2 linked regions of the Rhinolophus ferrumequinum genome follow. The protein of the gene in region 1 interacts with the protein of each later gene in a biochemical or structural test. Links are inferred from orthologs where the notes say so. Each region holds a gene or a part of one and is shown on either strand. Other genes may lie near its edges. The genes, in order: NUFIP2 and FMR1.

Evidence for each region.
Region 2: the proteins of NUFIP2 (region 1) and FMR1 form a complex in vitro, tested with the Homo sapiens proteins (2 studies listed by BioGRID and IntAct, with this or other methods). The link is inferred for Rhinolophus ferrumequinum from reciprocal best matches to the Homo sapiens genes NUFIP2 and FMR1.

Annotation. Positions count from the first base shown.
Region 1 is NC_046304.1:18,309,352-18,313,261, forward strand, and holds the start of NUFIP2 (FMR1-interacting protein NUFIP2), read left to right. Parts: upstream 1-991; 5' UTR 992-1,114; coding exon 1,115-1,391; intron 1,392-3,910. UniProt on the Homo sapiens protein: Binds RNA.
Region 2 is NC_046284.1:10,596,621-10,600,530, reverse strand, and holds the start of FMR1 (fragile X messenger ribonucleoprotein 1), read left to right. Parts: upstream 1-1,180; 5' UTR 1,181-1,423; coding exon 1,424-1,474; intron 1,475-3,910.

The sequences.
Region 1 (3,910 bases):
AATCGCCACCGAGGTAAAAAAATAAAATATTAGAAGGTACCCGTACCCCTAATCATCACAACCCTTTTTTTCCTTACTGAGTAACCACTATCCTGATTCTAACATTTGCTTTTAAAAATCTGGCTGTGATGTGATAATGCAGGATAAGTTAAATCAACATTACAAAACGCAAGAATATTTCTTCAAATTCCGGTATTTTACATAAATGCAGAAAAAAAAAAAACTTAACTTTTAAAGTGCTCTTTTCCTCTTGAAACTCTTCATATTCTAAAATCTATCTTGGTTTCACAGTTGACCTTACCTGCAGTTAAAAAAAACAACTAATTCTGTGTAAATTTTAGATTTTCATTCCTCCCGCTCTCCATTGCCTCCAACTACAAAGAAACAATGATTTAAACCCTTTGTGCCCTTTTAGAAAATTACACAGATACCCCATTGTGGAACCCTATAATCCCTCCCTGGAAAGGAAGAGATTAGCATATGAATACAAAGCAAAATGAATCCAGAATACAAAATGATCTGCAGATTTGTGAAGTTCCTGTATTCTTAAAAATGTATTTATTTACTTCCTCTTTTTTGTATTGCCCCTTTAGTGGTCTCAGGGTTAAGGAATTGCGCTTCCCCTCCGGTTACCCGGAAAAGGATTTTTAAAAAAAAGCCAACAGAGTCTACGAGGTGCAAAACCAACAGATGGCTCCCAAAGCCAGTAGAATCGCCCGTAGAATCTGCCGACATTCGACATGAGCTTGTTTGTGGGCGAGGAGTGTAGAAAGTGCTGTTCGCAGACTGCATGGTGAAGGAGAGAAAGCGACAGAAGAGAGAGCCATAGTGCTGACGTTGAAGGCCCAGCCCTGTGAGGTTGCACAGGGTAAGTGGCGTTGGCCAGGAGGCTGTGGCGAAGGGGGAGGACAGAGGATTTGGGCTAAGGGCGGGGCCTGCGGCGCAGCGTGCCTCTCGATTGCTGGAGCACGCCTGCCAATCTCGCAGAATCGCTCGGTTAACCAGTGCGCAGGCGAGACGCGCTCAGATATACTGAGTGAGCCCGAAGAAGCAGTCTCAGATCCTGACGGTGCAGCAGCCCGCAGCCTCAGCCAGGGAGTCCCAGCCGCTTTCAATGGAGGAGAAGCCCGGCCAGCTACAGCCTCAGCACCATCACAACCACCACCATCCACACCATCACCCCCAGCAGCAGCAGCAGCAGTCGCATCACCACCACCATTATTATTTCTACAACCACAGCCACAACCACCATCACCACCACCATCACCAGCAGCCTCACCAATACCTACAGCATGGAGCCGATGGCAGCCCCAAGGCCCAGTCAAAGCCGCTGAAACATGAGCAGAAACACGCCCTCCAGCAGCACCAGGAAACGCCGAAGAAGAAAACAGGTCTGGGAGGGAGGACGAGTGGGGGAAGGGGAGTCAGGGTGGGGGGTAGGGGCGATGGGGGTGGGGCTGGATCCGGAAAGCGCGGACCGGGTCGGGGTGCTGCGAGTGTCAGTGTGTAGTGCGAGTCTGGGGAAGCCCCCTTTCATTCTCCCAAATCTCGGGCTGGGCCGCGGGGTTTGCAGCGCCCTCCTTCCTCTCAGCATGGGAGAGGCCCAACCAGGCCAGTGTGACCTTCCCGGCCCCCGCCGGGGCTGGAGGAAGACCCTGAGGGTCGGCCTTGGAAGTCTAACGTTGTTATTCTTTTCCCGTTTACCTTCTTGCGGCCCTGGGGGGACCTTAATTTGGGGGCCCTTAGTTGGGGTGAACCTAGCCCCCCAAATCCTTCAGGGTGTAACTCAGAAAGGCCTAGCGAATCCCGACTCTGGTGGTGTCGCGAGACCCTTTTGCAGGCGGCGAGGAGAGGATAGGTGGGCAGAGTTGAGAAGTGTCCTCACCGCCACCTCAAGCCCACCTGTGGCCTTGGGGTTCCCGTCTGGGGGGGCGGTTGGGACCCCTAGTCTCTCGGGTCATTTCCATCCCTAGACGCCCCTTTTGGGCACCGGACCCCGTGGCTCCTCCCGAGGCCGGCTCTCCGGGCCCGCTCCCCCCAGAGCCGGCGCGGCTGGAATGTTCTCTCCTCCTCGCGGGGCCGCTTCCTGTCCGCCATGTTGGAAGCCGATTCCTGTCACCGACTCCGGCGCACTGAGCAGCGGAGGGGGAAGGGTGTCGAGGGGCACCCGGCGCGGCGGAGCCGAGAGCTCAGGATCCCCACCGGCAGTCGCCTTGCCCCCCTGCACTGCGGGGGCGCTGCTGGCTCGTGGCCCCCCTCCCCCAGTCGCCGGCTGGGTTGTGTAACCCGGTGGCTGCCGCGCGGCCCCGGGCGGGTCCCTGGGGTGAGGGGCGGGGGCGGTTGAGGTGGGGGAGGGAAGCGGCCACGAGGGGAGCGGCCTGCGCTGGGCCCCGCGCGCCGGCCGTCGCGTTTCCCGCTCCCGGGTGAGGCGGGAGGCGCGGGCGGCCGGGGCGCGGGTCTCCAGGCAGAGCGGAGGGAGAAGGAGGCCGCGGATCGCGGGCAGGGTCCTCGGCGCCCCTCGGGGGCAGGAGGGCTGGGGGTGGGGGGGGCACATTTTGGGTAGAGGCGGTGCCTGAAGGCCGGGTGGGGTACCCAGCGGGAACCCGGCTCCCGGGTCACGAGTTTCTCTGCCACAGGAACCTCATCTTCTGCCAGGTTCGCTCACGACTCCGGCTCTCAGGCTTTCACTTGGGCCCTTTCCTTCTAGCAGTTCGTTTTTACAAGAAAAGCTTGTTCTATCTCCCTCTACTTCCCCCACCCCCAACATTTACCTTCAGGGCATGGGTAGTATTTTTGAGGCGAGCGATTCGAAAAATGATTGGATGGGGTACGTACGGGGCGAGTTTTTTTGACCCCTATTTCTTGTCCTTAAGGGTGAACCGAGATGGCTCATCCGTGAGGTTGGTTCACTACCATCTTGCCTCGGATAAGGGAGGTTTGTTTCCATTTTGAAAGGAACGGTGTTTTCCCCTTTTCAAACCTTTACTGATCCCAAAACTCTTGTTTTTTTAACAATCGTTAAATTGAGGGTAAAAGTCGTTTTAGAAAATATTTGAGAAGAAATGAACTTAAAAGTTTATAAGCATGGGAATTTTTAAAAATAGGGGTTCTTTATACATTGAAGAGAAATGAAGGGAATGGTAAGAAAATGAATCTTAAACCTAGCCTATCAAATGTGATACAAGCTGTTACTGAGAGCGGGAGAAACACTGCTTTTCTGTTGCAGACTTAATGTGATTTGAAGACTGAAATTGAAATGTCAGGCCTTCCGTTTTTGAAGGTGGTAGGGGTAGGGACTGATGGTGTGCAGTAGAAATGAATATATAGATGTGTTGAGTGCTTAATCCTAAGGATTTGGAACAGTTTAAAAACTACAACACTAGATCTTTTTAACGTTTCATCTTTTTCAATTTAAAGGTGAGAAAATGTTCCCTTATGGTTGCTTGGAATATAAGGCAGTATTACTGCTCAGATTGGAAAATTTTATTTTGTTGGTCACGTATTAATACATACCGTCAGGACTCCTCTCTACATATAGAAGCAGATCGTGAACCGTTCAAGGTGGCATCCTTCAAACTGGGCTTAGCAATTTTGAGAAACATAAACAATTTGGGATGAGCAGGTTTTCATGTGCGGCCTAGTCACATTACTGTTGCTTCAGCATGCATAATGCTAATTTACTAAGAAAACCGGTTTTTTGAAATATATCCAGTATGTTCAGGTGGGCTTTTTTGACCCATTACCCACAAACCTATAAAGAGGAAGATTTTCTTTATCCAGAAGAGGGCGCAAGAGAGGGTTAAATGTGCTCAATAATTTCAGTTTCTAATCCAAAAGCAAGATTTATCAGGACTCAAGTTTTGTTGGGTCCATTTGAAGTAGGGTTAGATGCTTTAGCATGGCGGCCCTA
Region 2 (3,910 bases), on another chromosome or scaffold:
CTGTCTCACTGTCATAGGTGTACCTATGCTGCATAGCCCTTATCACAGTTGCAACTCCATATGAACTCTTCTGATCGTTTGCTTTATGTCCAGCTAGGCCTCGGGGGTCCAAGTTCAATGCTGACAGTCTGTTTCCTTGTTTTCTTCACCAAGGTCTCACTAGCACTTAGCCCAGTGCCTGGCAGTAGGATGGGCTCAAGCAACTTCTCCGTTGGATACAAGCCTTCAAAATGAAACCTAGGTCAAGGTGGATACAGCAGGCTGCAGAGGCAAGGATGAGAACGAGTTGGGGTTTGCTCTTCTGTGGAGGGTGAAGGGTGAGGGCTGCAAGGAAACAGGTGCCTGAGCCCCTGTCGATGTACGTGACTGCCATCCACACGCCCATTACACCCTCTGGTGCAGGGTAGGCGTAAGTGAAATAGTAGGGAAACTAAGTAACTAAATTAACAAGTGTGTAACACATTTTTTACATATGTCAAGTAAAGCTATGAAACTGAATGGAGGGAAGGGAAGCGCATGGATCAGTGCTGGCTCTGAGGCAGGACTAACGTTTCCAGAGGTCCGGACACAATTGCATCGCCTCTCGGAGGACACAGGATGTATCCACAGGAAAGCCCAAAATGTCTTGGGGGAGGGAGCGGCGTTACTCTCACCTTCTGCCTCTAAGGGTCACACAGGCCGGGGTCGCAGTGGTTGCCACTGTTACTAGTTCAAAGTCTTGTCTTCTTCAATCTAATTCTTCACCTTTATTCTTGTGCCCCACTCCAGCTCCACCTCAACCAGGCTCTGCCCCACTTAAACAGAAACAAACCAAAACAAAAACCCTCCACACCCAGCCAGCCAGGACTCAGATAAATGAATGCACTTGATCTTTACGGGAGGCCCTTTCCCACGCCTCCCCTTGCAGGTCTACAGGGATGGGCACTCTAGCCCTCGCCTGGCGACACCAGGCGGCCTGACCTCCGCCAGCAGGTACGACCTGTCGCCGCCCTTCCCGCCTTCCCGCCCTCCTCTAAGTCTGCGCACGCCAAGCCCGCGCGCCTTACGTTGGGCCCGGCCCCTCAGCCGAGTAGGAGCTGCGCGCATGCGTGCGCTCCAGGGCCCGCGCGGAGGGAGAGAGGGCGGGGCCGAGGGGCCGAACCCGCGGGGGGAGGGGCGGCGTCGGTCACGTGATGCGGTTTCACTGTTTACACGCGGAGCGGCTGGAGCGTTCGGCCTCAGTCAGGCGCTCGGCTCCGTTTCGGTTTCACTTCCGGTGAAGGGCCGCCTCGGAGCGGGCGTTGAGCCGACGGCGAGCGCAGGCGGAGGCAGTGACCGCGGCGCCGCTACCGGGGGGCGTGCGGTAGCGCGGCGGCTGGGCCTCGAGCGCCCGCAGCCCACCTCTCGGGGGCGGGCTCCCGGCGCCAGCAGGGCTGTCGAGAAGATGGAGGAGCTGGTGGTAGAAGTGCGGGGCTCCAATGGCGCTTTCTACAAGGTACTTGGCTCCAGGGCCGGCCCCATCTTCGCCCTTCTTTCCCTCCCTTTTCTTCTCGGCCTCGTAGGGAGGCAGGCCTGGGGCCCTCTTCCCGAGCGCCGCGCCCGGGGTCCAGGGCGCGCTAGGTGGGATGTTGTTGGGGAGGGAAGGACCGGACTTGGGGCCTGTAGAAAGCCCCTCGAGCTCCGCTGCCTCTCCTACAAGAGGCCCTGGCGCCTGTCGGAATGAGAAGCGGCAAGGAGGCGAGGGTGCCCTTTCGGGGGACGATCCCTGCCAGGCAGAGCTGGGGGTGGGCAAGGGCCGGCGGCAGGTACGCGATCGAGATCCCGGCGGGAAGGGCCGGTATCCGCGCGAAGTGACGGCAACGGCTTATTTCTCTTTTCCTAAATATTCTCTCCCAGTGGGTTCCGGGCCTGACGTGTGGGTAGTTGCCGAAGAGCGGGGGGCGCTTCCGTCGAGCCGCCTCCTGCCTTGCACAGAGGGTTTGAGATCTCCTTTGGCTTCTGTTTTCCGGTCCAGCATTGGGACTTCGGAGAGCTCCACTGTTCTGGGCAAGGGGTTTGAAGAAAGAGGAGTAAGAAGCTGTAGTCAGTACCAAATCACAATGGCAACTGATTTTTAGTGCCCTCTCTTTGTGGATTTCAGAAGAGATTTTTAGATCCCAAACTTTTCGGAAGATACTTATCCGACTAATGCATTAAAGAAGTTGGCAGTCTTCAATGTTCTCGGCCCCCTCCCTTGTTACAAATGTGGACAAATTCAGGAATACAGATGCTTCAGCATCTAAAATCATTAGCAACTCTGCTACTTAAAAAACAAAATTTTAACCCTCCAAAGACCTGCATACATGCTATCAAACTTCAGGAAATTAACTAAATGTTATTACTAGGGAATTTTTTAAAGTGAGTGGAAACAATTGTTTTGTGCTGTAAGTACTTGACTGTCTTCCCTGAATGTGCAGTGTTGCAGTGGATTGTATTGTGGGGGTTTTAAATAGGCATACATGGTTTACTGTGGGTTTTTCTTTTTTAAGTTACACCTATGCAGATCACTAATATATTACATTTTTAGAAGGAGAATTAAAAATATTTTGACCTATCAGCAGTGCGTCTTGGTACATACCATAGATCTGCTAATCTATAAATTCCCATTTCCTCTTCAATGTCCCTCTATAACTTCAGCAAGTATTATCTCACTTTACTACAGTCTTTTCTCAATAGAAGATGCATATGAAAGGAAGCATGGAAATTAGCTATTGCCATTGTCCAACACGATTCTTACCATTATTACGGGATCACTTAAACGTTTCAGATGAGACCCCCTTTCGCTAAAGGAAAGTAACAAAAATTGACTTACTAACTATGTGTTTACCAATTTTTTGGAAGTATTTGCAAATTAATATATTTCGTAAGTGAGTGAAGCATGTACATGTAAACTGTACCATACATTTAGCAAAAAGATAAAACCTTTCACTGTAAAAGGAGGAGGAAATAATCCAACATTTATGTTCTTAACACTCTCACCAATATAAAATTGTTCCAGGGGACTGGGCAGTCAAAATTTTGGTTGCGTTTATTTCAGTGATTCATAATTTCTGCTGGTTAAGTTTGTGTAGAATTATTCTGGTTCCAAGACTGGTAGTTTTGCTCACTAGATTTGTGACACTATTAATAAATATGAATGGGGCTAATGTTTGAACAGTATCCTAATCTATGACCTTAGTTTAGATCGCATGCCACTATGTATCTTTTAGTGGAGTTTGCTTGCTATAGAGTAGCAAGTAGCACAGCTCGATCTGAAGGATGTATTGTTCTCCAGCAACCTATGTTTGCTCGCATGATTTTGCTTGCAAACTCATTAGAAGATAACAAATGCCCTCTATCTTTGCCAGTAGTCCTCCCTTTTTGTTTTTTAACAAAGTTGCTTAATGTAAAGGTGAATAAAAAAATGGGTTGTCCTGTAGTTCCTTGGGGCTGGGGGGAAGTGAAACTTGAACAAATGTGCTTAAAGAAATTGCTGTTATGTTTATTTAATTCGGTTTGTTTTTAAGAAAATCTCAAATGGTCTGTATTGGTGGAAAAATAGTTTCTATAATGAAGAAGGATTAAAATTTTATAAGACTCAAAATATTGCTGAGTTGCAAAAGTAAACTGAGTTGCTTGTCCAGTGAGATGGGTAGAAAGGATGAGAAATAAAGACCAATAAAAAAAATGAACTGTTATGAAGAAATGTTACATTTATGAAAAAAAGGAACTTGGTTCCTCAAATTGATAGAAAAGCCTTTAAAAACTAAACAACTCAAACGACTTCAGTATAATTGAATTCAGACTTTGATTTGCCTGACAGAACCGCCATATTGCAAAGGACTATTCTCCATCTTCTGAACACATGGCCACCCTTGCAATATACACTGGATAGAGTATATGCTGGGAACAG